4 linked regions of the Arabidopsis thaliana genome follow. The protein of the gene in region 3 purifies or fractionates together with the protein of the main gene of each other region. This does not show direct contact. Each region holds a gene or a part of one and is shown on either strand. Other genes may lie near its edges. The genes, in order: AT1G01170, AAC1, PHB3 and AT5G25450.

Region 1 (6,333 bases), on a different chromosome or scaffold from region 3:
TATAATATATATAGATATAGCTTGCAATCATTTCCTGCGTTTGGATCGGTCTGGGTTTTGTCGAGGGTTTTTTGGGGAAGACGAAATTAGGGTTTAGTTGGGGCAAAGTAAGTAGTAAAGAAGAAGAAGATGCAGCAGCAGCAGTCTCCGCAAATGTTTCCGATGGTTCCGTCGATTCCCCCTGCTAACAACATCACTACCGAACAGATCCAAAAGGTTCCTTCTTTCTCACCCTATATCTCTCCCTCTCTCTTAATTTGTTCAACACTACTTAGGAGGCTCTTAGAGCTTTTTTGTACTGACAAAATCATTGGCTTCTGAGTGCAAGTAATACTCTTTTGACTGTAATTGGTGGCAATTAGGGTTTTCATTTGAATCTTTCTCGTTAATTCCACAACACTTGAGAGTCTGTTGTTGGTGATGATGAGAAGAGACAGTTTCTAGGACTAGGAAATTAGTAGATGCTTGGTGGGTCAGGAAACTTTGAATCCGGTTTTCAAGAATGGACATTGAAGTTAGATGCTTGCTTGATGTTGTTGTTTTGTACTTTCTCTTGGCTTGATGTCTTCCATGGTAAGATGATAGGCTGCATCGTCATTTCCTTGTCATTCTCTTTCCTTTGCTTAAACGCAGTACCTTGATGAGAACAAGAAGCTGATTATGGCCATCATGGAAAACCAGAATCTCGGTAAACTTGCTGAGTGCGCCCAGTAAGTCTCACCTTTTCTATCCATCTTCTTATGTCTCTTAGATAGTAATGGAAGCTTAGAATTACTATTATTAATGGTGAGGTTTATATAGTTATTCTATCTTTTGCTCTGTTATATTTTCAGGTACCAAGCTCTTCTCCAGAAGAACTTGATGTATCTTGCTGCAATTGCTGATGCTCAACCCCCACCACCTACGCCAGGACCTTCACCATCTACAGCTGTCGCTGCCCAGGTTGTTTGTGATGATAAAACTCAATTGCGATCTATCACAGAAATTTAATGTTGTTTGGGGGTTTGCTTACTGTTGGGTATGATTTCTGTTAGATGGCAACACCGCATTCTGGGATGCAACCACCTAGCTACTTCATGCAACACCCACAAGCATCCCCTGCAGGGATTTTCGCTCCAAGGGGTCCTTTACAGTTTGGTAGCCCACTCCAGTTTCAGGATCCGCAACAGCAGCAGCAGATACATCAGCAAGCTATGCAAGGACACATGGGGATTAGACCAATGGGTATGACCAACAACGGGATGCAGCATGCGATGCAACAACCAGAAACCGGTCTTGGAGGAAACGGTAACTCTCTTTACATTATTAAGACAATACTCAATCTCATAAATTGTAACTTGTATCCATTACTTCTTTCTTTGCTAACAGTGGGGCTTAGAGGAGGAAAGCAAGATGGAGCAGATGGACAAGGAAAAGATGATGGCAAGTGAAAAGGATCCAAAGAAGCTTTGTTTTGTTGATATTTAGGACTTGTGAGTCTCGTAAGGGCTTTTTGCAATAGCTTGTTTGAGTTTTTTAACAGAAGATAGACTGTGGAGTAGTTCCGCAAACCGTGTTGTAATGTATTGTTATTTAGTACAAGCTCGGATTTAGAAAACATCGTCATCGTTCATCTTATTCTGAAAATCAAAGCATTGAACTTATTATTTTCTCATTCCGGACGAGTCTTGACGATGAAATTCTGACGGCTAATGGGATTCATAACAACGGGAGGACCAGCGGTTCTTGGCCATGCTTGGAATTTCTCATCCGTTGCTGCCCACCATTCTTTGTTAGAGACAGTTCCTGGAGTAGTCCCTGAAATTTTCACAAGAAGATAACCATTAAGATCGTCCCTAACTTGAAAACACACACAAAACTAGATAAATCTTGAGCAGAACTTGCCTCCAAAGATCTTATTATCAGAGATAACTTTGTCGAAGATGTATGAGATTCCGAAAGAACCGATGAGAGCACCGATTATGTACTTGGCTTTACCTCCTGATGCCATTTTCTTCTAAAGCTGAAAGTGAACCATTATTACAACTTAACACTCAACTCACAAGAGGAGAAGCAACAAAGCTTATGTAAGGATTTAGTATTAAGGCCAAAAAAACACAGATCAAATTCAATTATTGAAGCTTTACTTATCAAGTTATCATATAACCAATGAAGACGGTAATTCAAAAGAAAAATAAAAGGGTTTGTAGAATAATTGATACGTTTACCTTTGCCGATTCAGAGACAGTGAAGCTTAAACAGTGGACTCCAGTTCCAGAAGAATTCAACGGTGGAAGACGGTCGTCCAACTCTATCGTCTTATCTCTTTAAAAACTTTGGATAAATCTCTGTGAAATTACCAAAATGGGCATTGTTTTCTGAAACGTTAATTACTAGTTTTATTAAGAGACAAAACTACAATCATCACAAGGGAAGATATAATAGCAAATCTACTAGTTTGCTGAATTTCATCATACGTCTAGCTCGAGTAATTGTTATAACCAAAACCTGTAATATGCTAATTTGCTAGTTGATATGAATTTATTTATTTATCAGTAAGGAAAGGTCCAAGTGTCCAACATTGTTTTCGGCGTATGACACATACTCTATTATAAGATGATCTCGGCGAATGCCACATATATTAAACACTACACTTTAATTCTTGCAGAATTACGATTCAAAACTCTTTTTTTCTTTATTCTTTCGAATCAGTGCTGCATTTGACATGTTCAAAACATGATTCTACTTATTATTGACTATTGAGGTCGTGTCGTGTTATAACATATGATTTCGTTGGAAAACTGTAAATACACTAAAGATTAGAGATTCGTAGTTTCATTTATTAATAGGTCTAGGGGAGTTAAATAAGTTTTTGTTTTATATGGTTTTTCTAAACTCATAAAACCCGAAATACAGAATGAATTAAGTCAAGGATTAAAGCAAATGATTTTGATTGTAAATGACTACATCACATGTAGCTTTCTAGACACGTAAAGTCAAATAAATACAAATAAATTAGATCACGACGTGAGCAATTTCCTTATCCGACTGTATTTAAACGTCTCAACAAACTGACCCGCCAAAATAATCATAAATAAATTTCCATAATTCGAATTATATAAACTTAATAACAAAAACAATTATCCTTCCTTAATCCTATTTTGTTTTTACTTGATTCTTCATTCTCAGAAATCTTGACCATGAAGGAGGATCGTCGTCTTCCTCACAAACGCGACGCCTTCCAATTCTTGAAAACCAAGGCTGCGTACGTTATCGTCATAGTTCTAACCTACGCCTTTGGTTACTTCTCCGCCTACCACTATCATCAACCGCTGCAGCAGCAGCTGCCACCGTCTACGACAGCCGTGGAAACGACAAAACCTCAAGTTTGTTCAATCGACAACTTCCGAGTTACGACTCCATGCGGCAATCTTGTTCCGCCGGAATTGATTCGCCAGACTGTTATTGACCGGATCTTTAACGGAACTTCTCCGTACATCGATTTCCCACCACCGCACGCCAAGAAGTTTCTCCGGCCAAAAAGAATCAAAGGTTGGGGATCATACGGGGCCGTTTTCGAGAATCTAATCCGCCGAGTCAAACCTAAGACGATCGTCGAAGTCGGGAGTTTTCTCGGCGCGTCGGCGATACACATGGCGAATCTCACGCGCCGACTTGGGCTCGAGGAGACTCAGATTCTATGCGTCGACGACTTCCGTGGCTGGCCCGGTTTTCGAGACCGGTTTAAGGACATGGCTTTGGTTAACGGTGACGTTCTGCTTATGTACCAGTTTATGCAAAACGTGGTTATCTCGGATTTTTCCGGTTCGATATTGCCGGTTCCTTTCTCGACCGGTTCGGCTTTGGAGAAGCTGTGTGAGTGGGGAGTGACGGCGGACCTGGTGGAGATAGACGCGGGTCACGATTTTAATTCGGCATGGGCGGATATAAACCGGGCGGTTCGGATACTCCGACCCGGCGGTGTTATATTTGGTCACGATTATTTCACGGCGGCGGATAATAGAGGAGTGAGGAGAGCCGTGAATCTGTTCGCAGAGATTAACCGGTTAAAGGTCAAAACCGATGGTCAACATTGGGTTATTGATTCGGTCAAAGTAACCTGATTCCCTTTTTCCCATAAGGAATGAAAAAATTCGATGTATAAATAATAAGAAAATGTGTAATATTGCATAGTCAATTCATATTTTTTTTCCATCTTTTGAAAATTAATGGATTTGAGGTTTTTGATTGTGTAATGAGAAAAAATATTTGATTGATCAGGTGAAACAAAAAAAACATCATTTTTTTTGTTTTTACTTCAAATTGATGAAGTGTTCCATGGAAGTGTATTTTCAGAATATTATTTTTTTCTGTGAAAAAGGTAATTAATAAAGGGACAAGATTTGCGATCTCAAAAACTGTTGCGAAGATTAAAGAGGATGCCAATCAATGGTTCTTTGCTCAAGTTCTTGAGAATCAGGATTTGGTGAATGAGCAAGCTGTTCACATTTCGGTTAAGGTTAAGTGGTCTCCTCCTCCCCATGATTGGTTAAAATGCAATATTAGATCGTCATGGGATAGATTTGGTGAGATTGGAGGTGCTGCGCGGGTTTTTGAGAGATGAACACGGTAAGGTCCTAATTCATGCTAGAAGATCTTTTGCATCTGTTCATAGCAAGCTTGATGCTACTTTTCTTTGTTGGCAATGGGCCATGGAGAGTATGAAAAGTCTCAGAGTTGATAAAATCATCTTTGCCTCTGAAGACAATGATCTAATTGGAGCTGTTACGCGACTGCCGTCTTGGCCTTCGTATAAATTTCAGATTCACTTTTTGTTGGGAGAATTAAGTAATTTTTTGGATTGGAATTGTGTGGTGAAGTAAGAAGCTCTAATCTTGGAGCTCATCTTATTGCCAAGAGCGTGACAATGGAGGATCGCCGCCAATCGTATGTAGCAACCGGGTTTCCTTTTTGGCTGAAACATCTTTTTGAGAAAGAAAGAAGTATTGCTTAGTGTAATACTCATTGTGGTTGATCTAGAATGATTGTCCTTGATCCTAACTTTTTGTATATTTGGTTACAGTCTTGAATATAAAATATATCTTTCAGTGAAAAAAAAAAAAAAAAGCACAACCTCTAAGCAAAGCAGAATTACAATTAAACATAATTGGGCCTAATACGAGATTGTAAGACAGATGGGCCATTGAAGAAGTCACATTGCAAAGTCAGTCTTATTTAGAAACGAACGATAACGGAAGCTTCTCTATAATCTTGGGGTACTTTAGGAATTTCGTCTGCCATATTGATCCCATTTCATTTATTTTTGTCCCCGTTTCCGTTACAAAGATTTCCTTTTATTTGTTTCCATTCAATATTGTTTGTGTCTTTGTGATACATAGTGAGACGTGTTTATAACCCCAGAGAGACCTAATCGATCGAAATTCCCTCAATTTGAAGATCGTTAGTTTGTTATCTCTTTCTCTTCTAATTCTTTTTTTACTTAGATGATCTTGATTTCCACTCTTCAAATCAAGTAATCTAGTCGAGTGTTTGTGTGTGTGTTCGATTTCTGAAGAAAAACAACAAAATTGAATTCGTTGTTTGGGGGGATAACGATGATCAGAAAGCTAAAAGGGAAGGCTCTCTGATTTCAAAAGGTATCTTTCTTTCTTTATTTGTTTCAGTTGTAAATTACTTCCAAAAGATTCCGAATCTAGTTTCTCTCTTCCTTATGTAGTAGATTTGCCATCATATCTTCTCCGGCTTTTCGCCGTTGTCGTGAACACAATTACATTCCGCTCTCACCGCCACAACAAGAATAAAGCCCATAACGATAATTATCTTACATTCCGCATACAACACAATTATACAATCTATTGGCCACGTCATTTTCTATCCTATATTTTCAGTTATTCTTTTTTTAATATTTTTTAGCTCTAAACATAAATAGATTTTCAAAGTTTTTTATCGTTTTTATTTTCAAATTCCTATAATCGTTTTTGTTTTATTTAGATTTATTTTATTTTTAATTATATTTTTATATACTACTATTAAAACGTATTATAAGGTTTTTTATAAGTGCTAAAATTTTTAATTTTTTTAAACTAATCAGATACAATATCCAAAATACTAAAAAGTGTCTCTATCTTTTTCTATTCAAAATATTGAGTTGTCTTTGACAATATTTTAAACTAGTTGTAAATCACAGAGATAAACACCACATAAATCAATAAATAACTGTAATCTTTACCTTGAAGATTTTATTCATATGAAATATCTTATAGAAAATACTTCGTTAGCTTGAAAATGCATATTTAGTTTAAATACAAATAAACGAAACAAAAAGCAAAAAGC
Region 2 (8,004 bases), on a different chromosome or scaffold from region 3:
TCTGTATGCTATTTTTTACGTTGACCAAAATAAAAAGGTATATACAATTTTTTTTACATGGCGCACACCATGACTATTACAAACGGCATGATCCAGAACATTCGTTCATAGCAGCTAAAACTAGAACATTCGTCTCCTTCCATTTTTTTGGGGGCTTCACAATGTTTACTTGAGCCCAAAGTAAAGCCCATTAAATTGGTACCACGTCATCGCTAACTTTTCCATTTCTATGTTTCTATAAAAGTCTCATATTATGTCAGTGATAGCTCTCAACCTACCATACTTCACCACATAACCACTTCTGTCTCTGCGAATCTCCATAAGACTCTTTGAGAAGCTTTCCTCTGTTTCTCCGCTGGTAAGCTTCCGTTATCTCTCTCTCTCTCGCTTCTCAGATCTGTTCCTTAAACCTTTAATTTCTCACCGACGAGTGGATCTGAATCCACAGTTATGGGTAGCTCCGGCGACGTTAACTGGAAACTTGCGGACCACCCCAAGCTTCCCAAAGGCAAAACTATCGGTTTGATTGTTCTCGATGGATGGGGTGAATCTGATCCCGATCAATACAATTGCATCCATAAAGCTCCAACTCCTGCCATGGATTCCCTTAAAGACGTATGTTTCCTTTTTTGTTTATATCCACTTCTTTCCTCGATGATTTCGCTGGATTCCGATTATGGACTTCAACGGTTCGATTTTATTCTTCACAGGGGAAGCCCGACACATGGAGGTTGATCAAAGCTCATGGTACCGCCGTTGGTCTCCCCAGCGAAGACGACATGGGAAACAGTGAAGTTGGCCACAATGCTCTTGGAGCTGGTCGAATTTACGCTCAAGGTGCTAAGCTTGTTGATCTCGCCCTTGCTTCAGGGAAAATCTATGAAGATGAAGGTTTCAAATACATCTCTCAATCTTTTGAGAAAGGCACTGTGCACCTTATTGGTCTTCTAAGCGATGGTGGAGTTCACTCTCGTTTGGATCAAGTCCAGGTACTTAATTCTCATCTGTTACACATTTCTTTTGAAACGTTGGCGTTTGTTAATTTTCTTTAATTTGGTTCTGTTTGGTGCAGTTGCTGCTTAAGGGTTTTGCAGAACGTGGTGCTAAGAGAATCCGCGTCCATATTCTTACTGATGGTCGTGATGTTTTGGATGGTTCTAGTGTCGGATTTGTTGAAACTCTTGAAGCTGACCTAGCTGCTTTACGTGCGAAAGGTGTTGATGCTCAGGTTGCATCTGGTGGAGGTCGAATGTATGTCACAATGGACCGTTATGAGGTAGGCAATGCTTGTGAGATCTTGTATGAATGTCATGCCTTGTCTAGTCTAGTTTAGAAATGAATCCAATTTTTGCTTTCCTTCCTTGCAGAATGATTGGAGTGTTGTTAAACGAGGTTGGGATGCACAAGTCCTTGGGGAAGCTCCCCACAAATTTAAAAGCGCTCTTGAAGCAGTTAAGACACTGAGGGCAGAACCTGGTGCCAATGACCAGTATTTGCCTTCGTTTGTTATTGTTGATGATAATGGAAAGGCTGTGGGTCCAATTGTTGATGGTGACGCAGTTGTTACATTCAATTTCCGTGCTGATCGAATGGTCATGCATGCAAAGGCCCTCGAATACAAAGATTTCGACAAGTTTGATCGCGTACGTGTCCCTGATATACGTTATGCAGGAATGCTCCAATATGATGGAGAGCTTAAGCTTCCTAGCCGCTATCTTGTTTCTCCACCATTGATTGACAGAACTTCTGGTGAATATCTGGCACACAATGGCGTTCGTACTTTTGCTTGCAGGTTAACTTTTAGAATCTCTCAAATCTTTAGTTATTGTCTTTGCCATTTTCTTCTATTGCTGCTTCCTGGTTTATTTATTTGCTGGAATTGGATTCATAATTGAAACTGTGATAAGAGTAATCCAGTCTTCTTTACTTGCTCGGTAGAGGTCTAATTTATGATTGGGGGTTGTTTGTTGATTAAAACTAGTGAAATCTCCTAGCTCACTTTTTCTTGATGAGATTATACCGTTGATGGTTAGTTACATATAATGAATGAATTCTCAGCTATTAACCTATTAAAATTTTATTTCACTGAAACAGTGAGACTGTGAAGTTTGGCCATGTAACCTTCTTCTGGAATGGCAACCGCTCTGGATATTTCAATGAAAAGTTAGAAGAGTACGTTGAGATTCCAAGTGATAGTGGAATATCATTCAATGTCCAGCCAAAGATGAAAGCACTGGAAATTGCCGAGAAAGCAAGGGATGCTATCCTTAGTGGCAAGTTTGACCAGGTAAGGTGTATTCTCTTATCACATTGTATCAACCCATTAAAACAATTGGCTTCTGAGTTTGGTGCCAATGGATTTTCAGGTGCGTGTAAACCTGCCAAATGGAGATATGGTGGGGCATACTGGTGATATTGAAGCAACTGTTGTTGCCTGTGAAGCTGCTGATCGTGCTGTGAGGGTATGATTTCAATAAATTTGTGACATGGGAATGTTAGAAACCGTTCTTAGTAGCAATGACTCACTTAGTTTTGGTGTCCTGGTTTGCAGACAATCCTTGATGCCATAGAACAGGTCGGAGGGATATACGTTGTGACTGCAGATCACGGAAATGCTGAGGACATGGTTAAAAGGGACAAATCCGGCAAGCCTGCTCTCGATAAGGAAGGGAACCTTCAGATTCTTACCTCTCACACCCTTAAACCAGTAAGTTCTAGCACTACTAAAACAGTTCGTGTTATGACCATTGCAACTGAGCATAGATTAAGCATGAGGGGTTGTAATACCAGAAGTGGTTGGTGTATCTTATATGAAATTTGGACATGATGTGTGTGTGCAGGTGCCAATTGCCATAGGAGGTCCTGGCTTGTCAGCAGGAGTTAGGTTTAGACAGGATATCGAGACACCTGGGCTTGCAAATGTAGCTGCGACAGTGATGAACCTCCATGGATTTGTGGCCCCGAGTGACTATGAGACAAGTCTGATCGAAGTCGTCGAGAAGTGATGATTCTTGTTGTTGTAGTTCTTTTTAAAAGTCCCACCTGAGCCTCTATAGACTCTGATTCTCTTTTAAGTTACTATTTTCACCGCTCTCTAATAAGGCTCGTGATTTTTTGGGAGCCATACTGTATACTCGCCGGCCCTCTCACGATGTTGTTCAATTCACAGACTAAATTTGATTTATCTATTTCGCCAAAACATAACTTCATTAAAAAATGTTCTCCAAATAACTAAACGAATTAAATAAAAGAAACCTTTCATGTAAAGTTAAAGGTATGAGACTTTAAGGGCAGTTGCTGAACATTCGTAACACATGGGAGAACAATAGAGAAAGTTGAAAAGAAACGTAGCATATAGAAAAATTATCTTTGTAACCAAGTTGATTTAGAAAAATATCACTATTTGTGAAAAATACTAGATCAGTTTATTATTACTTTTTTTTTTTTTGTATATTCACAAATATCATATTCATATAGAAGAAAATAAACAAAGTTGTAAAAATCTGGCATTTAAAATAAAATTGAACACTTCAATTTATTTCCTTTCATAATAATAATTTTGGCATAAGATATTTGCAAATTGATCTGGTTCGGTATGGTCGACAAAATAATTTTCCACGCTACCCTTCCAGCCGTCCATTCACTATTTGCCCTCAACGTTACCAAATAACGGTCCAGATTCCTAGGGCAAGATCTAACGGTTAGCAAGTAAAGTCGTACCATCAGAAAGAATAACAATTCTTTCACAAAGTAAACATAACCAACGGTTAACAAGTTCTTAGGGTTAAATCAGTAAGATCCAACGGATATTAAATTGCAAGGCCCAAATAGTTTTTTTGCAGCAGATAATAACTCGTCCCCACTGGCGAGTGACGACCGAGACTCTGTGACCCTATTTTTCGAGACGATAAAAGGGCAAACAATCGCTCTTTTCAAAGCTCGCCTCTTCACCACAGAGAAAACTTCGTCTCTCTTCTCTGCTTCGCCCTCTCATTTCCTGTGAGATAAAGGCGGAGTCTCTCTCCAGTTATTTTGCTCATCCATCGATTCTTAGGTATGACTCGTTTCTCTCAGATCTGTGATTCTTTATAATCTCGTCGTTCTTCAAATCATTGTTATATTCGTTTCTTCGATCTGTGTTTTTTAGATCTGTAAGGTAAATGAGACGTTTCGATCTGTAGATCTGATTGTTATATTGATAGATTATGTTATCTGCTTTGCTTAAAGTCCGATCGGAATGTTTTGTGCTCATTGTCGAATATCTGATGTATCGGTTTCATAGATCTGCTTCTTTTTGTGCGTTTCGTTGATCTGATAATCTTCTAGTGATCAAAATCGTTTGGATCTGTTGACTTTAGTTTAAAATGTATCCGATCTGATGTCGAGGCTTCATTATTGGAAGTTGTTATTGTTGTAATCCTGATTTAAGTTGCTGTTCTTAAATTTATATGATCTTTGCGTTATAATATGACATGGTAGATCTTGGTTCATGGTTCACTGTTTTCCAATAAACTTGGTTTGTTTGGTTGGATAGCGTTCTGTGATACGACCATGTCTTGTGTTGGATAAGAATTCTCTGAATTTCCTTGGCTGGTTTGTAGTATGTTATTCACGTCTGGTTTCTCATCAATGATTATGTGATTTTGCAGAGTTCAAAATGGTTGATCAAGTTCAGCACCCCACTATTGCGCAGAAAGCTGCCGGGCAGTTCATGCGTTCAAGTGTTTCCAAGGACGTTCAAGTGGGTTACCAGAGGCCTTCTATGTATCAAAGACATGCAACCTACGGAAACTACTCCAATGCTGCATTTCAATTTCCTCCGACATCCCGGATGTTGGCAACAACTGCTTCTCCCGTGTTTGTCCAAACCCCAGGAGAGAAGGGGTTCACTAACTTTGCCCTTGACTTTCTGATGGGTGGTGTTTCTGCTGCCGTCTCCAAGACTGCTGCTGCTCCTATTGAACGTGTTAAGCTTTTGATCCAGAACCAGGATGAGATGATTAAAGCTGGCAGGCTTTCTGAACCCTACAAGGGTATTGGTGACTGTTTCGGCAGGACGATTAAGGATGAAGGTTTTGGTTCTCTATGGAGAGGAAACACTGCCAATGTTATCCGTTATTTCCCCACTCAGGTTTGTTGAGTTTCATACTCTTTCTTGTTATAGCTTTTGAAAAAACATAATTTTCTGCTAACCTTCTTTTTTGTCTATTGTAGGCCTTGAACTTTGCCTTCAAAGATTACTTCAAAAGACTTTTCAACTTTAAGAAGGACAGAGATGGTTACTGGAAGTGGTTTGCTGGTAACTTGGCATCTGGAGGAGCAGCTGGTGCCTCTTCCCTTCTGTTTGTGTACTCCCTTGACTATGCCCGTACCCGTCTAGCTAATGATGCCAAGGCTGCAAAGAAAGGAGGTGGTGGAAGACAGTTTGATGGTCTTGTTGATGTCTACAGAAAGACACTTAAGACTGATGGTATTGCTGGTCTGTACCGTGGATTCAACATCTCATGTGTTGGTATCATTGTCTACCGTGGTCTGTACTTTGGACTCTATGACTCTGTGAAGCCTGTTCTCCTCACTGGTGACTTACAGGTATGTCTTGTTGTCTTTCTCTCTGATCTGTGTGCTCTCTTGCCTATCATTGGTTGATATTGACATGTTGTGGTCGTTCTCTTTTGGTTATTTCAGGACAGTTTCTTCGCTAGTTTCGCTCTTGGATGGGTTATTACCAATGGTGCGGGTCTTGCATCCTACCCCATTGACACTGTCCGCAGAAGAATGATGATGACGTCTGGTGAAGCTGTCAAGTACAAGAGTTCTTTGGACGCCTTCAAGCAGATCCTCAAGAATGAAGGAGCCAAGTCACTCTTCAAGGGAGCTGGTGCCAACATTCTGCGTGCTGTTGCAGGTGCTGGTGTGCTTTCCGGTTACGACAAATTGCAGCTGATTGTCTTCGGTAAGAAGTACGGATCAGGAGGTGCCTAAGCATTGCTTCTTCCTCCTTTTTTCGATTTTAATTGCGGTTTTAAGGCCCGCAATAAACTGAGATGTTGATGAAATTTTTTTTGCTTAAGACTTAGGGAGGCATGTGCCCTAAACCAAATTTTATATCGTTCTGACGCCAACTTTTTTTACTTATGGAATAATTCATGTTTGAGAGAGTTTGTTAGACTCTTCGATTTTAAAGAATTTTGGATTTATGAAATAAATTCTTCTTTTTTATCTGATTACCATGTTATTTATAGTCTTAATCAACTTGCAATATTGATTTCGTTATCTTAGGTAGTATCTACAATCTAGTTCAGGCTATAAGTTAAAAAAATGCACGCATCCAAACCTGTGTAACTTAGAAGTTTTGTACGAAGTAGTGAACTTAAACTGTAGCAACAATGATGAAAGAAATGTTGCAAACTCATTGTTGAGAATATCACTTATATATTGCATGTCAATATTTCACTCTTCATATCCCTCATATTGCACCTATGTCTATATCAGTAGTAATGAGAGAGCGAATGCATAGAGCTCGGTTAACATGCATAAAACATGGAAAATGAGAGTGAAAAATCTACTATGCAAATCGCCCTTTAGCATCACCCATCTCTGAATTATTTTTGTGGAACAGAGTCATAGAGTTGCACATCAGTTTGGAATTATGAACATTGATAGAAATCAAGAAAACTTCCAATAAGAAGACACCAAACAGATATTTGAGTTAACAAAAGGTGTTTCTGAAAGCTTTGAAATAAATTAAAATAGTGATGTATTAGTGATTAAGGATCTAGAGATATTTAAAAGGATCTGTCATTTTGCCATTTGTCTGCTGCTATTGGAAGGATTTTGATCCGACAAGGATTTCACATCTCAAATCACCATGTCAATTGTTTGGTGAAACAAAATAGAGCAAAAGTAGTGGTGACAAAGTAGGGTTCATAGGTGGTTGGTTAGTATAAAAGAGAGATTAGATAGAAACTGAGAGTGGAGGTTGTAATAGAGACCTCAATTAGTAAAGTGAAAGTGTGCCCCCAAGAGACTATAATTGAGTCTTTATGGAGCTCCGTGCCACACACAACCCCCTCTCGGCTTTTCTCACGTGCTCTGAATCATACATCACCAAAAAAAGCATCTCTTCTTTTTTTTTTTGGAGTCAAGATTACGAAATTGAAAGTGCATTATAAAGTCTATTAGAGAGTTTTTAAAAAATCCGAGCAAGAAAAGGAAAGTGTTCAAAGCCTATATGTTTCTGAAAGGCTCCTCCTCAAATTCATACTCAAGGTCACAATGGGTATTATATCGGACAATGCTCAATCTCACTCGTCTTCCTCTGCCCCTGCTCCTTCCATCTTCTCCAGCTCCTTTGCCACTCGGTCTGTTCTCTGTCTCTCTTTCGTTCAAACATGTCAAAGTTTGTTCCTTTTATGCAATCACGTATAGATTTCTTACTTATCCGATGCATAAAGGATTCGTTTTTACCATATATAAATTGCAGCATATTCTCAGATGTTGCGGGAGACATCACAATTGTTGTTGATGGAGAGTCCTTTTTACTCCACAAGGTTAGTGATCTGTTTTTTTTTTTTGCCCACACAAAGTGTTCGACGGAATTTCAATTTACGATGTTTGAATTATTTTGCAGTTTCCTTTAGTGGCTCGGTGTGGAAAGATTAGGAAAATGGTGGCAGAGATGAAAGAATCATCTTCAAATCTCTCGCATACAGAGCTCCGAGACTTTCCAGGTGGGTCTAAGACGTTTGAACTCGCCATGAAGTTCTGCTACGGCATCAACTTCGAGATCACTATCTCCAACGTGGTTGCTATCCGTTGCGCAGCTGGTTATCTTGAGATGACAGAGGACTTCAAAGAAGAGAATTTGATTGCGCGGACCGAGACTTACCTCGAGCAAGTCGCGTTTCGCAGTCTTGAGAAGTCTGTGGAAGTCCTCTGTTCCTGTGAGACGCTTTATCCTCAAGACATTGCTGAAACTGCTCACATTCCTGATAGATGTGTGGA
Region 3 (8,030 bases):
ATTAATGTCTAAATCATCAATCTCTTTCTTTAGACTATCAGTGATTATTTTATCTCGTGCATTTCTTGCAGTTGGTCCTCCGGTTTGCAAATCGCTTTTTCTTGCCACTTTGGAACCGTGACAATATCGAGAACGTGCAGGTGAGAGCTGCATAGCTAAGACAGAAATAGTCAGACTGTTTGTTATTTAGAGTCAATTCACATTTTCAAATGCTTTTCTTGCAGATTGTTTTCAGGGAAGATTTTGGAACTGAAGGGCGTGGCGGATATTTTGACGAATATGGGTAATACTTTCTTTTTGAGTGTCTTCTTGTTCTTCATATAGGGTCTTAATGAGATGACACCAGTTCATTTCTGATGACATCTTCACTTCTTGCCACACAGAATAATCCGTGATATTATTCAAAACCATCTGCTACAGGCAAGTATACCTGAGATACTTTTCCTGATAACAAAACTTCATTGGAAATCTATGTGATTGTTTTTCAGAGTCTCTCTGTAAGTTCAAATGCTTTCATGTATTGACTAACTGAGTTCATAATACTCTGTAGGTTCTTTGCCTTGTTGCCATGGAGAAACCAATATCTCTTAAACCTGAGCATATCCGGGATGAGAAAGTGAAGGTGAACAAATACTTTTCTTGACCACTTTTTGCCATTCTATCTGGTTTTCGTTGCCTCTTTTATCTGAATTCATATGATTGAGAACCTCACTGTTTGATCTAGTTACATTTTTCTTTAAAAATCTCCTTAGCGAGTTTACATGGATTGGTTGATATTTCCATTTGCATTTTCAGCCAATTAGTCTCTCGTTACTGATTATTTTAGTGAACTTCAGGTGCTTCAATCTGTGGTTCCGATAAGCGATGACGAGGTAGTTCTTGGACAATACGAAGGATATAGGGATGATGATACTGTTCCAAACGACTCAAACACTCCAACATTTGCCACAACAATCCTTCGCATACACAACGAAAGATGGGAAGGTACCATGTCCCACTTCACTCTTCATATTTTCATCTATCAGTTCAGAAACAATCTGGAAATTGACATAAAATATGAAGAAAAAACAGAGGTTTGATGGGTCAACATGATCATAGATAGCATCAATCTTTTGGTTAAAGCATGTGGAACCAAAATCCGACATGTTTGCATGCACATTCTAACGGTCCTGGATATATCTTTCAGGTGTTCCATTTATATTAAAGGCCGGAAAAGCGTTGAATTCAAGGAAGGCAGAAATTCGCATTCAATTCAAGGATGTCCCAGGCGACATATTCAGATGTATTGTCTTGCCCTGACATCGTGTTTTGAATCTTCTTTTAGCTTTTTGAATTTAAATATATGTAAAGACACAATGTATCGCTTTGTCTAAACTCTCTTGCAACAGGTCAAAAGCAAGGAAGGAACGAGTTTGTGATACGCTTGCAACCTTCAGAGGCAATGTACATGAAACTAACTGTAAGTATATGATGAACAAACAAACATAATTTACTAATTACTCTGACCTTGAACCACTACAGTGAACCATAACGCTTTTGGCTATGCTTTTGCTACACAGGTTAAGCAACCAGGTCTAGATATGAATACTGTGCAAAGTGAACTAGACTTGTCGTATGGGCAACGGTATCAAGGTGTCGCTATCCCTGAGGCATACGAGCGCTTAATTCTTGACACGTAAGAAATAAATTTTCTAAATTATATACTACCCCAATAGGCTTTATATATCTAATTGATGCCTTCTGTTCCTTCATGTTATCTTCAACATATTTTCTTTCCATCTCTCTGCAGAATCAAAGGCGATCAACAACATTTCGTTCGTAGAGACGAATTAAAGGTAGAAACATTTTCTAACGCCACCCTTAAACCAAAGCAGTCTCTGAGATCGTTTTTTTGTTACATTACAAATGCTCTAACTATAGACACAATCCAGACACAAACTTTTGCATCATACAATTCAGGAGCTAACATTTGTATCCATTTTGATGATTATTACAGGTTGCGTGGGAGATCTTCACGCCGCTACTCCACAGGATCGACAAAGGAGAAGTAAAGTCAATCCCATACAAACCAGGAAGCCGAGGACCGAAAGAAGCTGATCAGCTACTAGAGAAAGCTGGTTATCTTCAGACTCACGGCTATATCTGGATCCCTCCTACACTATAAAACCCTACATATATATAAATACACAATACATGTATCTACATGTATATGTATAAATTATGCTGAATAGTCCCTCCTCGAGTTTGGTGTTTGTACGTGAAACTTGCTACTTCAGCTGTTCACTTTGACACTTCCTTTGGTCTTGTATTTGCGGCTTTGTAGAAATAAAAATAAAAATCTTACCAATACCATAAATGAATTTAGCTTTTGTTGTGCTCGTTAAATGAATGAAATTGACGATGAGATAGAAAAAATTGCCAAAAAATGTAGAGTTTGTTGATATACACACATAAGTTCAATCTAGAGGTGGTTGAAACACACATTAAGTTCCATCTAGAGTTTGTTGACACAGACACATAAGTTGAGTCTAGGAACCGACGCCGTCTTTACATAGTCATCATTATCATTAGATGACCAAAAAAAAAAAAACTAAAACCGATGGATAAAATGGATCTCGATAGAAAAGGCTATCTTTCATGATTTCTCTTCTTTATTTGCTTTGTTTCTGAACTTGCTCTGTTTATGCAAAAACAATTGAATGTCCATACAGATCGAAATTTGACGTAGACTATCGACAGTTTATGCAAAATAGGTACCATCTAGATAATCCAGATGTGACCATAGTTTATCCGCATAGAACAACACTCCTAGGTACCATCTGTATTTTCTTTTCTCACGCATGTGTAACAAACAAATTACTTACAGTTCAGCCAAAATCATTTATTTGTTGAGAATTAGATAAACATGATGCTGAAAACAAAGATTCTTCAGGTAGAGTAAATTTTGCCGAGATTCAGAACACAATAATGACAACTCAAACAACTAGTTTCTTTTTCTTCTTCAGAGTTCATCAAAACAAAAGAGCATTTCACCTTTTTGATTCAATCAGATTCACAACTTGATCATTAAAATATCGCAAAATGCTCCCAAACAACCTGCACATAACCATAATACAAAGCCTTCAGACAAATCACAAAACGACTTAATTCTATGGATTCAGATGAAGCTTTTACATACCATCATATCTGATCAAGATCAACGGTTCAGGGCAAAGAGCATGCTCTGGCCACCGGGTAAGTAGGCCACATTAGGAGACCTAGCAAGTGTAGACGCAATCTCCCTTGAAGCTTCAATCCTCCTAAGCTCGATAAGTCCCATACCAGCTTTAGCCGTAGCATCAGAAATCAACTGAGCAGCTTCACTTTCACCTTCAGCTCTTATAACCGCAGCTCTCCTCTCTTGATCAGCCTTCATCACAACAAACTTAGACCTCTCTGCCTCTTGCTGAGCCACTTGTTTCTGCTCAACAGCCCTTGAAAACTCCACACCATAGGACAAATGCGTGATAGCTACATCATCAAGCACAATGTTGAAGTCCTTCGCACGGGTGATTAGTGACTCCCGAACAAGTGCTGAGACGTGAGGACGCTCAGTGAGAAGCTGGTCAGCGTTGAACTGTGCAACCACAGCTTTCAAAACCTCATTTCCAATCGAAGGAAGAACCTTCTCGTCATACTCTAGACCCAAAGTTTGGAAGATGTACGGGAGACGCGACACCTTCACAACAATTCACATCACATAAACACACCAAATTAATAACGATTCTACAATACCTAGTCCTCGAAACAAATTTTGAAAATCATAGATCATCAAAACCCTAAACCCTAAATCCAATTCGCAAATGAATCTGAAAAACCTCAATTCAGAGAAATCAAACGAGTCTAGATCAAAAATGAAGAACCGTTATGCGTTATACCTCAGGACGAGAGAGAACACGAAGAGTGAGATTAACCATCTGGAGATCCTTAGTACCAGAGATTGAAGAGAACGTGTGAGGCTTCGTGCGGATATCGAAGATGTGAGGCCTCTGAAGAATCGGGATCAAGAAATGAGTCCCTTCACCCACAGTCTGATCCATCACTCCCCTGAATCGATCGAAGATAACAGCTCTTTCTCCGCCGTCAACGGTGAAAAGCGATGTATTCAGCACCGTCGCCGCCGTTCCAAGACCGAAAGCAGCCTTCGCCAAATTGGAAAGGAACGAAACAGCCGCTTGTTGGCTTCCCATTTTTGCGTGTGGATTATCTTGAATCGAGAGAGAAGAAGAAGGAAGAAGAGATTTGAGACGACGAGAGAGGAAAGAGTTTCTGCTAGGGTTTATGATATGTTTCTGGAACCTACCACGGGAAATGATTTAATGGGCCAAGTAACTTAGCCCAATATTATTATGTGACTATATAAGCCTATTAAGAACTAAATTCAATAATGGGTTTCATGACATTGGGCTGAAAACAGCTTAACGGTTACAGAGTATGTTTAATATCTTTTTGTCTCATAAATTATGTTTCTCTCAATTTTTTTTATTTTTTTTTTACTGAAAGATAGATTATAGATAGAGTTTACAAAGTTAAAGCTGACGATTAACAAGATAATCTCAAAAACTAAGTCGACGGATAACAAAAATCCTCGGAGACTAAAGCCCAAAAGTATGGGAAGCTAACAAACATTACTTTAAATGCATAAGAAAATAGAAACTGAACCATGGAAAATCAAAAACTATAACCAGAATCTAGCACATGAGACATTGCCCACCATCAATCCAAGATAAAGAAAAGCTTGCAGAAATGGCTAAACGACGGGGAAATTCTAATCCACAGCATCAAGATAGCAGCTCTTCTTATAACAAATGAAGACTACCTCACAGTTCAAAAACAGCATCCCAACCAGCAAGAAGAAACCAAATATAAAACAGCAAAATCGAGGCAATGAAAACCAAGATCGGTCAACGCCAATAGTTTATCTCAATTTGTTTAATCAAATAAAAATTGAAGAATATACCTACTTGGACATTTGTATGGTGTTAAGGGCCTACTATAAAAGTATTAGATTAGTACAAGCCAACGGTAGTGAACAAAAATATTCTTCGAGCTACTTGACAAACACGAAGTTGAATAAGGATAACTACTTTTTCGTATAAGAAAAATATTTACATGTGAGCATGATTAATCCTTTTCAAATATAACGGCAGGGGACGTTGTTGTTGAGTTTTTCCAGTATAAAAAGTGTTTTTTTTTCCTTAAAAGAAAAGTTGTGAAACAATGATATCTATTTTTGAAAACTTTTTGTGACTATTTTTTGACCAACAAACAGTATACGCGAATACTTTTCTATTCGGTTAAGTGGGATTTGAAGACAGATGTACACGAGTATTAAAACTGAATCTGAAAGCATGTAAATCTCCAAATATTTTATCCGTAAAATTGTTATGTATCTTCGACCAAAAAAATATAGAGATATTATGTATCACTTAATTAATATGACTCAATTAAGTCGTCTCGAATACTAAGAAAATTATGGAGTTTTACTTGGAAGGTCACACAGTGACCTCACCACGTTATCGAAAATGTCAAATGTTTCGGTGTCGAATCTTATACAGGTTTGAAAATAACCTTTAAAATAGATTTATATTACAGAAAAGTCCTTCAATATTGATTTTCAATTAAAATATTGCAGAGAAATCTTTAATTTCAAAAACTAAACGCCAACTTCAAAGATTGAGCTAAATTCGATTCTTTCAACATTTTGACTCCAACCGGATATATATGTAGTCATCAATATTATCGAAACAGGTAAAAGAAACAACCCAAGTGAAGGAAACATGAATCTTTGATAACCAATTAGAGTGAGAAGTGTATAATTGTAAAATAAACAAACTGAAACTAATATTAATATATATATATATAATTATATATATACTACTACTACTATACTAGGTTATTTTGTCAAATATATATATATGGTACATGACAACAATAATAAGAAACAATTTACACTTTTGTGTTTGCTCATCAAGAAATTTGGAACAAAGTCCAACTAATCTTGGGATAGATCGACCAAAACAAAACGTTCACTTGGTTTTTAATCGGTCAGAAAGAATATGTTTAGGCTAAACATTGAATCGAATTATCATCTGACCACCAATGGTAGATCAATAAAAAGTATTGATGTGTTTTTATCTAGCTAGTGAAAAAATTTTAGAATTGCCATTTACTTAAATATGAGACTCATTACATATAATGCAAATATTCTTTAGTCTAAGCTATAATGGATGCTCATTTGTTGTTTAGTGCACATAATTTTCCTCCACCAATGGCCAGTATTTGTTTACAAACTAGTATAAGATAATGTAAGCTAATTATCACATACATGATGTCACGTTGATACACTAAATTATAAAAATTATAATTTAGTGTCAAAGTGCAGATCGAAACTATAGCTAATTGGTGGTGTTGAAATTATTCATACCTTAGTAATAATTATAAAATCAATTGATTGTAATCTAATAGTTTCGTTGACCATATACAACGAAGATGAAATAGATTGACGAGTAAATAAAAATAAATTTGCAATCTGGTGGAGATAAATTTCATCCTTAACCTACAACACTAGGTGACACGTAACAATTAAACCGAGTCAACTGATTATTTCTTTGAAGAAAACTTCCTCTCGTGTACAGCTTCCGAGATGCTTCACTGGAGGCATTAACTACTTTGATCATTTGATTTTTGTTTGCACAATCACTAAATGCAGATACAAACATGCCCGCGCTGAACTATATTACATAAGCATGTATCTCTCATTCGATGCGGAGATACAGACGGAACACTCGAGTTGCCAATTGCGGTTTAGTCTACACGCTTCTATTGAAATAAACATAACAAGTCTAAGATTATGAGCTTACGACATTGGACAACATCCATATAAAACTCCTGTAAACTGTAATTAGGTTATTTAAACCAGTAATTCATATATATAGGATATTTAGTGAGTTGCTTCTTTGAACAACGTATCTCTTTTTTTATTTTTGTCTACTATATTTTCATAAAGTTTTACATGAGATAGATTCATCTTGCGTTTAATCTATTTATATGGTATTAGTATTTATACGCTAATTTGTTCGTCTATTTTTCTCTTTTTTGGAAAAAATTCGAACTTCATCAGTTGACTCATTAAATAACTTTCCCAACAGAGTTTTACTTTACACGTTTTTTCTTCAATCCCAATAAATTCCACACACAAAAACCTAACTATAAAACAGTTTTGACTTTTAAACATTTCAATAACATTTTCTAATCATTGTTATTATTATCATAAGCCATAACATGTCATCACATAAATGCTCACATGCATAACGACGAGATAAATCGAGAGTAAAAATATTCTTTGTGCATATAGGAGTTGTTCGGAATCGGATAATGATGAATTTAGTTAGAATTAAGGACTCATCATACAAATAACATTCATCACTATACCTTTTTTTTTCTTTTTTTTTTTCATCACTATACCTATTTGCTTGAAATTTTTAACTAATTAATCTTATGATGATACCTTAATTTTTTCAACCATGTTGATGAATCCGTATATAAATATTTTATTTTACACATCTTCTTAGTTTCTATAGTTTTTCTTTTTTGGGGCAACTAGTTTCTATAGTATTTTAATTCAAGAATTAATATGGAAATCGTCGTAAAACATTATTCCAACTAATTAAATAACAATAACAAAATATAAGTCAATGGAAGAAAGCCACTTGACCGAAAAGCAGGAACATGACAAGATAGAAAATGACAAAATAAATAATTTTAAGAAAATAGAGATTGTTAGAACATAGAAGTGAACCATACACTTCATTATCTCTTCTTTTCATTGACTCTATCATTTTCTCAAAAGTCTTCATTTGGTGCATTTCTACGAACTTTCCTAGCTCCTTCACATTTAAACACTAGCAACAATGAATTAAATTTTATGTACAAACTAAAAGCAGAACATTAATAGTGGAAATTGAACAATGACCATATTTTGTTTTCGA
Region 4 (7,036 bases), 7.5 Mb from region 3:
AGCTAGGCTATAACTATTTTTTAAAATCATGCAATATTTAATAAATCTCCGCAAAAAGAAAAATATTTTTTTTAATAATCATCAGTAATAAATAATTATTGGCAATTTGGCATTTGGCAAGTGAGAGAAAAGAATAGGAGTAAGTCTACTCACATTTAATTGAACATTGTCATTTTATTTCTGTTAAGTAATTCATTAATGAATTTAGGCAAAGGACCCTCCTGTGCTAATGTGACTCACATGGAAATGTCTTCAAATACAAATCCATATCGTTCTCTCTACTGACACCACTCTATTAAATACTTTAAATACCTTATCTCATTCTTATCTACCTCGACACTTATTCACTAGACCGTGCAAAGCATCGTTGTATATATATGATTCATGTAAAAAATGTTTAAAAGTGGCATCTTTGAGGAATTGTGTAAACATTAACATCTAACTTAATGATCAAGTTTACATTACACATCAATCTTATGTATAAGTTCAGTGTTTAAGTGAACCGTACATAACCATAAAAGGTAAAATTGTGTGGTAGATTGGAGCCTAAAGAGCCATAAGGAATGTTTGGTTAAGTGGGCTTTAGTTATATAGTACAAGAGACTAACATGCTTAAGGAATGTTTCTTTGGTAGAAAGGTAATGCTCCCGAAGCCTCTCCCGCTTCACCTGCATATGAAGTATCGTGTAAGAACTTTGCAATAAGCCCCCTAACACTACAAGACAGAGAAAAGTTCATGCTACAAGACTACAAATTCATAAAATTATATAAACTATTATTCTTTGATCATTATTAGCACAAGATATGAATATGAACCCTACGAAAAAAAAAGATATGAATATGAATATGAATATTTGTGTATATTAAATCAAAATTGGCTACGACAAAAAAAAAAATTCAAAATTGGCTATGGGAAAAAGCTAATTATGTAAGGTTGTTCACAAAAGGGCTCTTTAAACACAGACGATTCTTGATCCTTATACAAGTCTTATGTTCAATCTTGCAAGATCAATTTAAACTACAAACTTGAATATTGTGCTCCACGTCATAGGTTTAAAACTATAACTATAAACTACAAAAGTTGGTGGTTCCCTTGTTGACATTTTCCAACGCGTTGACATTTTAACACATTGACTTGAGACGTCCATATACTCAATGGCTTACTCCAGAACCTTGAAGCCCGGTGGAGTAGATCTAGATAAGTAAGGTGAATCATCTTCTTCCTCAAACTCTGTTTAACTGTCAAGAAAGCGGATCTTATAGGCATGGGAAACTGTTTTCTAACCGAACAACTTGCAACAATTCCAGGTATATATGAATCTGTGTGAGGAGACACATCAATCCCAAGACGTTATCTCCATCTAAGGAAGGTGTTGGCATGGCCATCGCCGTTAAGAGATTTTACTTAACCTATGAAGAAGCCTTGCAAAAGTGATTTGTAAGAAATTAACCTCTACGAGAGAGACTGATCACTCATATATGTATGCTTAACACGGCAGCCGAGGTTTGTAGGTTGACCTAGAGTTTCTACGACATAACCTGCATCCAAGCTTGGTCAAGCTCATTGGTTACGGTTCGGATGATAATTGTTGTTCATTGTTTCTGAATACTTTCCAAACGGAAGCTTAGAGCGTTACATTTATAGGAGTAAGCAAGCTAGAAAATTGTATTGAGCGCATTTCTTAGAATTTACTACGAACCTCCTGAATACATATTCTCAGGTAAGTCCTCTCTCAAGCTACAGAATGACCATTAAAATTCATACACTAACCTAAAACTGATTGCACGGTAATACGCATATACAGGGAGATCACACATGGCGGGCGATGTATACAGCTTCGGTGTTATACTATTTGAGATCTTAACTGGTTTGGGAAACCCGTGCATCATCTTAGCAGAGGAAGCAACAGAGAATAGAAAAGAAAACATTGTGGAAATGATCGATCCAGATTTAGAGAATAGCTATCGTGTTGAAGAGGGGATGCGTATGTGCAAGCTCATAAAACTGCCTTGAAAGAGATCCCAAGGAAAGACCATCCATGCAACAAGTGCTAGATAATTTGAATGCTATAGCCCATATTTGAGAGGACAAACTAAGGGTTATAAAGGATTGTGGTTCAGAGGTTACACGCCTCTCTTCAGAGCTCCTATGAGGAACTGTGAAAACATTTCCAAAAGCTAGCTTAAGGGTTTGTGTGCCTTTATGTCTTTATGTAGCATGATTTACTCTCCTCCTACCGGTGTGGGATATTTTACTCATATTTCTGTAATAGCTCAATCAAGCTTACATTACACATCCAATTCAATCTCATAAAATCTTATACATAAGGTTCACATATCCATGCATAACCATACAAAAGCAAATTGTGCGGTATTGAAGCCTAAAGAGTACTAAAACAGTGACCCTACTATAAGCACAAGAGAGACTAACATGCTTAAGGAATGGTTCTTTGGTAGAGAGGTAAAGCTCCCAAAGCCTCTCTCTCAGCTCTCTCCCGCTTCACCTGCACATGAAGTGTCGTGTGTTAGAACTTTGCTATATGATTCTTCTATCACTACAAGATAGATAAAACTGTTTTTGTTCTTACAAGAGCCAACATGTCTTGGAGGTAGCTCCTGAATGGAGTCTGCACTGCCTGTGGAATTACAGAGACAAGGAAAAGAAAAAAAGATTTACATAAGCTTCCTATCTCACAACTAACAAGCACTATCTCAAAAAAAACTTCTTTCATAGACAAGATCTTACAAAGCTTATCAAGTTACAATTATATTACAGAACCAAAACAGGTTTCTGAAAACAGAGTGTTCTTGATCCTAATACAAGTCTTAAGTCAAATCTTGCAAGCTCTATCTACAAACTCCATAGCTATATACCGTTTTAGCTCTGTTGTCACTTACTTAGAGACTAAAACATACCTGAAGATTATCTGGGAGGTATTCATGTTTCATAGAAAGATCCATTGCACGCATAAGACGCTGGTTCCGAGCATCAACAATCTCTCTCGGTAAACGATTAAGAGCTTCTTTAATATCCAAATCATACAAAGGATCATAAAGATCGTCGTATCTAAGACCTAAAAAATCGTAAAATTCCCAAAATCAGCCAGAAGAGAATTAGGGTTTGGTTTCTAGGGTAAGAGAGAAAGAAAGAGTACCGTATCTGCGGAGGCGATTAGAAACAGACTTCATATGCATACGAGCTAAGAAATTCTTCCTGGGATCTACTAGTCTCTGGAGAAACGACGCCATTATCTTCTTCGGAGTAACGTTGAAGATGTGAATTGTGATGAAACCCCTTCGCCGCTATTTGTAATTTAACCCGGGAACGAAGAAGGAAGAAGCATCCAGAGACATCTGTTTAAACGCCGTCGTATGAAACTCTAGCCAAACGGCGTAGTATGTACTCTTATCAAAAAACGGCGTCGTATGACTCACCAAATAAAACGCGTCAACCGTTGACTCTCAAACGCGTTTTCGTTGACTTTGCTCCTCGGTGTGAAAAACTAAAAGTCCTCTCTTCTTCATTGAACTCTAGTGTTAAGATTTAGCAGAGAGTATCCGAATGGGAAATTGTCTCTCAGCTTCGACACTTCCCACCGAACCAAATGCTCCCAAATCAGGTATACATATATATATTTCTCTGCGGATTTAAGTACTTTTGATTTGAATGTTACTATAATGGATATAAGTTTTGTTATAATATATGTATAGTGGAGGAGGGTGTGAAAGTCTTCACGGTGGCAGATCTGAAGAAAGCGACTAATGATTTCGGAAACCAGATGGAACTAGGAGAGAGCTTGGGATACATCAATCCCAAAACGTTATCTCCGGCCAAGAAAGGTGTTGGCATGGCCGTCGCGGTCAAGAAAATTTACTTAGCCAATGAACAAGCTTTTCAAGATTGGCTTGTAAGTAATTATATCATCTCAATCTATAGGAGAACCTTCGGCAAAACCAATAATATTGTTAAGTTTCTTGTTACTTATTTATTCTTCTAAATTTTTTGATGTTTTTGGATGGTAAATGTCTATGTTGCCTACCCCTAGAGATGGGTCAGTGTGTCTTAACATTAGAGATGATATTTTTGTAGGTTGACGTAGAGTTTCTACGACATAACTCTCATCCAAGCTTGGTGAAGCTAATTGGCTACTGTTATGATCGTGATATGTTGTTTATTGTTTCTGAATACTTTCCAAATGGAAGCTTAGGAAGTTACATCAGTAGAGGTAAGGAAGTTAAGTTTATTCATCTCCTTTTCGTCATTATATCTTGTGAGTAGACTCAAAGCAAGAAGAATCTTGCTCGAGCAAGACCCAAAGGTAAGAGCTCTTAATAAGAGCTTTAAAACTAGATCTAAAAATTGAGATAGCTCATTAGAGCTTTATTTAGTGGAAGTGAGGAAAATATACTAATTGAAGAACACCAAGCTAAATGATTCCTAGATAATTTAATATCATAGAGAGGGAATAAAGAGAGTTGCTCAAATTGATTTCTGGAGCTCTCACGAGTTTACGATCTTAACCTTAGATCCAATAGTAATTCATCTTCCTTTTGGATTTAATGGTTTATATAATATCATAGATAGTCGTCCAAAGTCATTGCCGTGGGAGACACGACTTAAGATATCCATAGGAGCGGCTCAGTGTCTTGCCTTCTTGCACTCTAGGAAGCAAGCCGGTCTATACCGCAGATATCTCACTGCTTCGAAAATCCTGCTCGACTCGGTTTGTATTCACCTTGCCTTTTTTGTTTTTTTTCTTGAATACTTGCTCCTTACCTTTAAAGTGACATTTATGGGATATGCAGGACTTCAACGCAAGAGTTTCCTATTTTGGAAAGCCAAAAGTTTCTCTCGATGAATTGGTATACACCATCGGGTTTTCAAATGTAGCACCTAGATATCAATACCCACCTCCCGAATACATACTCTCAGGCAACAATCTTCTGCTTCTTCCTTATATCTTAAAGTTAAAAGTGACCATTAAATTCAAAGAGACTAACCTTAATTGATTGCACTAATCAAATGAAGGGATGTCGAACATGGCGGGCGATGTGTATAGCTTTGGTGTTATACTACTTAAAATGTTAACTGGTTTAGGAAAAGACCTCACAATCTCAGCAAAGCGAGAAATAAAAAATAAAAAGTACAACATTGTGGAGATGATCGATCCAGATTTGAAGAATAGCTATCCACTTGAAGCGGGAAGACTTATGTGCGAGCTTATTAAACAATGCCTAGAGGTAGACCCGAAGATGCGACCAACCATGCAAGAAGTGCTAGATAATCTGAATGCTATAGCTCAGATTTGAGGAGAAACTATATAAGGGTTACTAATGCTGAAAACATTGTTTCACTATAAGACAGTTATAACATAGTCAATGTATGCATTTGTATACAATAACTCGTATATGACGAGAAGTATTAAGAAACAAGACCTAATTCTCCATTCTTATCCATCACTCAAGAACAGAGCTATATGCTAATCAACTTTGAACCTTTACACTATACAATGATCATTATCTTCTTCGACCTCTCTCTCTGCAATACGTTGAAAATATGATTACTTTGGAGCCACGCTATGTGTCAGAAGAATAACCGAGAGATGACGTGTAAAGCAAAAAGCGTTGTGAAAATCTTTTATCTCCTCTAAAATAACTTTGACTGGTGTACCATTGTTATTCTTGCTAGCTATTAACTGGTCTTGAAATTTGGCGCATTTTTCTTGCAAAGCAAGCAATACGAGGTGACAAGGTATTCATGGCAGAGGTGATCGATCCGGATTTAGAGAATAGCTATTAGCTATCCTCATGAAGCGGAAGACATATATATAAGCTTATAAATAATGCTTTCACCGTCACCCGAATAAATGGCCATAATGCAGCAAGTACTGGATAATTTGAATGCTGAATAATCTCATATTTAATTGCTGAAACAAAGTTCCACTATAAGGAAAGTTATAACATAGTCAATGTATGCCTATGCACAAATACAGTTGTGTACAAAAACAATTGCAAAAGATTCTTTTTAATGTGGTTCAAAGGTTACATGCTTCTCTTCAGGCTCCGGGTGCACCTGAAACAAGATTCTTGTTTATATGCATTTTTTCATATCAATGCTTGGATTGTGTAGAATAGATATAATTTGTTTTTATTACCTCTTTAAAACTTATGGTTCGGATCCTTATTTCACCTCTGCTTGTAGTCATCTCATCCAATATCTCCGCGTCGTAGAATTCATCTTCACCTTCTGATAAATGATGAGAAGACCCTAGTTTCTGCTCACAAAATGGTTTAAAGGTATCACACACGTGTACACAAAAAGCCCCTGAATCAGTTTAAACTCATTAAGAGACCAAAGGTTTACCCTATATGCGAAACTTGAGTGTTGGATAGGTGCTGCTACTATTTCTTCATAGTCAGAAGCATCTAACACTTGAAGGTGTTGCATATCGAATAACTTGGGAAGCAAGTGTTCTCTTATACTTATAAGTAGAAAGAAGAGTGCGGGGAAAAATATCCCGGCCATAGGAATCCATGTCATACCATAGCACAAGAGAAAATAAACCAACTGGAAAAGTGTGAATGTTACAATCACTCTGTATGGTACCAACTCCACAAATGAAGCATGCACTCCTTCCAAGACTCTGCATTTAGATGAAACCAGTGATTGAGAAAGGCAGACCTTTCTAAAAATAGACTAAAGAAAAGATATATATTAACTAACTTGAAAAGCCGGCTAGGAGGAATAAAGAGAAGCAACAATCTCTCCCAAAATTGGTTTCCCGGGAGACTGTCTATCGCCATATAAGCAAAGTAACCCCAAAGTACTGAACTTGGGATCATTTTAATGACTGTCACTGCAAGAAGTGTTAAACCAACAAGAACTGATTGCAAAAGATTGCTCACTCTTTGCTCGTTTACTCTAACCGGTAAATTAGCCTCTATATGAACATCGGGATCGAATTTTCCTTTTGTATCGCCTCCTTCGTCTGGTCTCATCACAACTTCTTTCAACTCTTTTAAATCTGTTGCTACA

Evidence for each region.
Region 1: the proteins of PHB3 (region 3) and AT1G01170 fractionate together in Arabidopsis thaliana (co-fractionation; one large-scale study listed by BioGRID). This does not show direct contact.
Region 2: the proteins of PHB3 (region 3) and AAC1 fractionate together in Arabidopsis thaliana (co-fractionation; one large-scale study listed by BioGRID). This does not show direct contact.
Region 4: the proteins of PHB3 (region 3) and AT5G25450 fractionate together in Arabidopsis thaliana (co-fractionation; one large-scale study listed by BioGRID). This does not show direct contact.

What each region holds. Positions count from the first base shown.
Region 1 is NC_003070.9:72,454-78,786, forward strand, and holds AT1G01170 (ozone-responsive stress-like protein (DUF1138)), read right to left. Parts: upstream 2,285-6,333; 5' UTR 2,208-2,284; exon of another isoform or gene 2,003-2,207; 5' UTR 1,991-2,002; coding exon 1,885-1,990; intron 1,798-1,884; coding exon 1,652-1,797; 3' UTR 1,478-1,651; downstream 1-1,477. Other genes in the region: GIF2 (GRF1-interacting factor 2), read left to right, coding at 130-216, 462-563, 634-710, 834-942, 1,035-1,287, 1,369-1,430; AT1G01180 (S-adenosyl-L-methionine-dependent methyltransferases superfamily protein), read left to right, coding at 3,180-4,103.
Region 2 is NC_003074.8:2,603,684-2,611,687, reverse strand, and holds AAC1 (ADP/ATP carrier 1), read left to right. Parts: upstream 1-3,792; 5' UTR 3,793-4,054; intron 4,055-4,114; exon of another isoform or gene 4,115-4,156; intron 4,157-4,649; 5' UTR 4,650-4,657; coding exon 4,658-5,131; intron 5,132-5,214; coding exon 5,215-5,589; intron 5,590-5,685; coding exon 5,686-5,982; 3' UTR 5,983-6,253; downstream 6,254-8,004. Other genes in the region: iPGAM2 (Phosphoglycerate mutase, 2,3-bisphosphoglycerate-independent), read left to right, coding at 451-615, 711-989, 1,073-1,276, 1,368-1,792, 2,095-2,287, 2,367-2,462, 2,552-2,707, 2,841-3,005; AT3G08570 (Phototropic-responsive NPH3 family protein), read left to right, coding at 7,276-7,361, 7,484-7,550, 7,631-8,004. UniProt on the Arabidopsis thaliana protein: ADP:ATP antiporter that mediates import of ADP into the mitochondrial matrix for ATP synthesis, and export of ATP out to fuel the cell.
Region 3 is NC_003076.8:16,312,393-16,320,422, forward strand, and holds PHB3 (prohibitin 3), read right to left. Parts: upstream 4,900-8,030; 5' UTR 4,230-4,899; coding exon 3,918-4,229; intron 3,719-3,917; coding exon 3,197-3,718; 3' UTR 3,179-3,196; intron 3,097-3,178; 3' UTR 2,458-3,096; downstream 1-2,457. Other genes in the region: G6PD6 (glucose-6-phosphate dehydrogenase 6), read left to right, coding at 72-140, 225-283, 384-420, 551-622, 837-984, 1,187-1,282, 1,389-1,459, 1,560-1,675 and 2 more. UniProt on the Arabidopsis thaliana protein: Prohibitin probably acts as a holdase/unfoldase for the stabilization of newly synthesized mitochondrial proteins. Necessary for mitochondrial and cell metabolism and biogenesis.
Region 4 is NC_003076.8:8,853,249-8,860,284, reverse strand, and holds AT5G25450 (Cytochrome bd ubiquinol oxidase, 14kDa subunit), read right to left. Parts: upstream 3,369-7,036; 5' UTR 3,250-3,368; coding exon 3,156-3,249; intron 3,075-3,155; coding exon 2,917-3,074; coding exon of another isoform or gene 2,899-2,916; exon of another isoform or gene 2,637-2,898; coding exon 2,589-2,636; intron 2,505-2,588; coding exon 2,436-2,504; 3' UTR 1,809-2,435; downstream 1-1,808. Other genes in the region: AT5G25440 (Protein kinase superfamily protein), read left to right, coding at 3,563-3,620, 3,712-3,965, 4,091-4,226, 4,582-4,724, 4,807-4,933, 5,030-5,310; AT5G25430 (HCO3- transporter family), read right to left, coding at 6,026-6,073, 6,156-6,275, 6,365-6,644, 6,725-7,036. UniProt on the Arabidopsis thaliana protein: Component of the ubiquinol-cytochrome c oxidoreductase, a multisubunit transmembrane complex that is part of the mitochondrial electron transport chain which drives oxidative phosphorylation.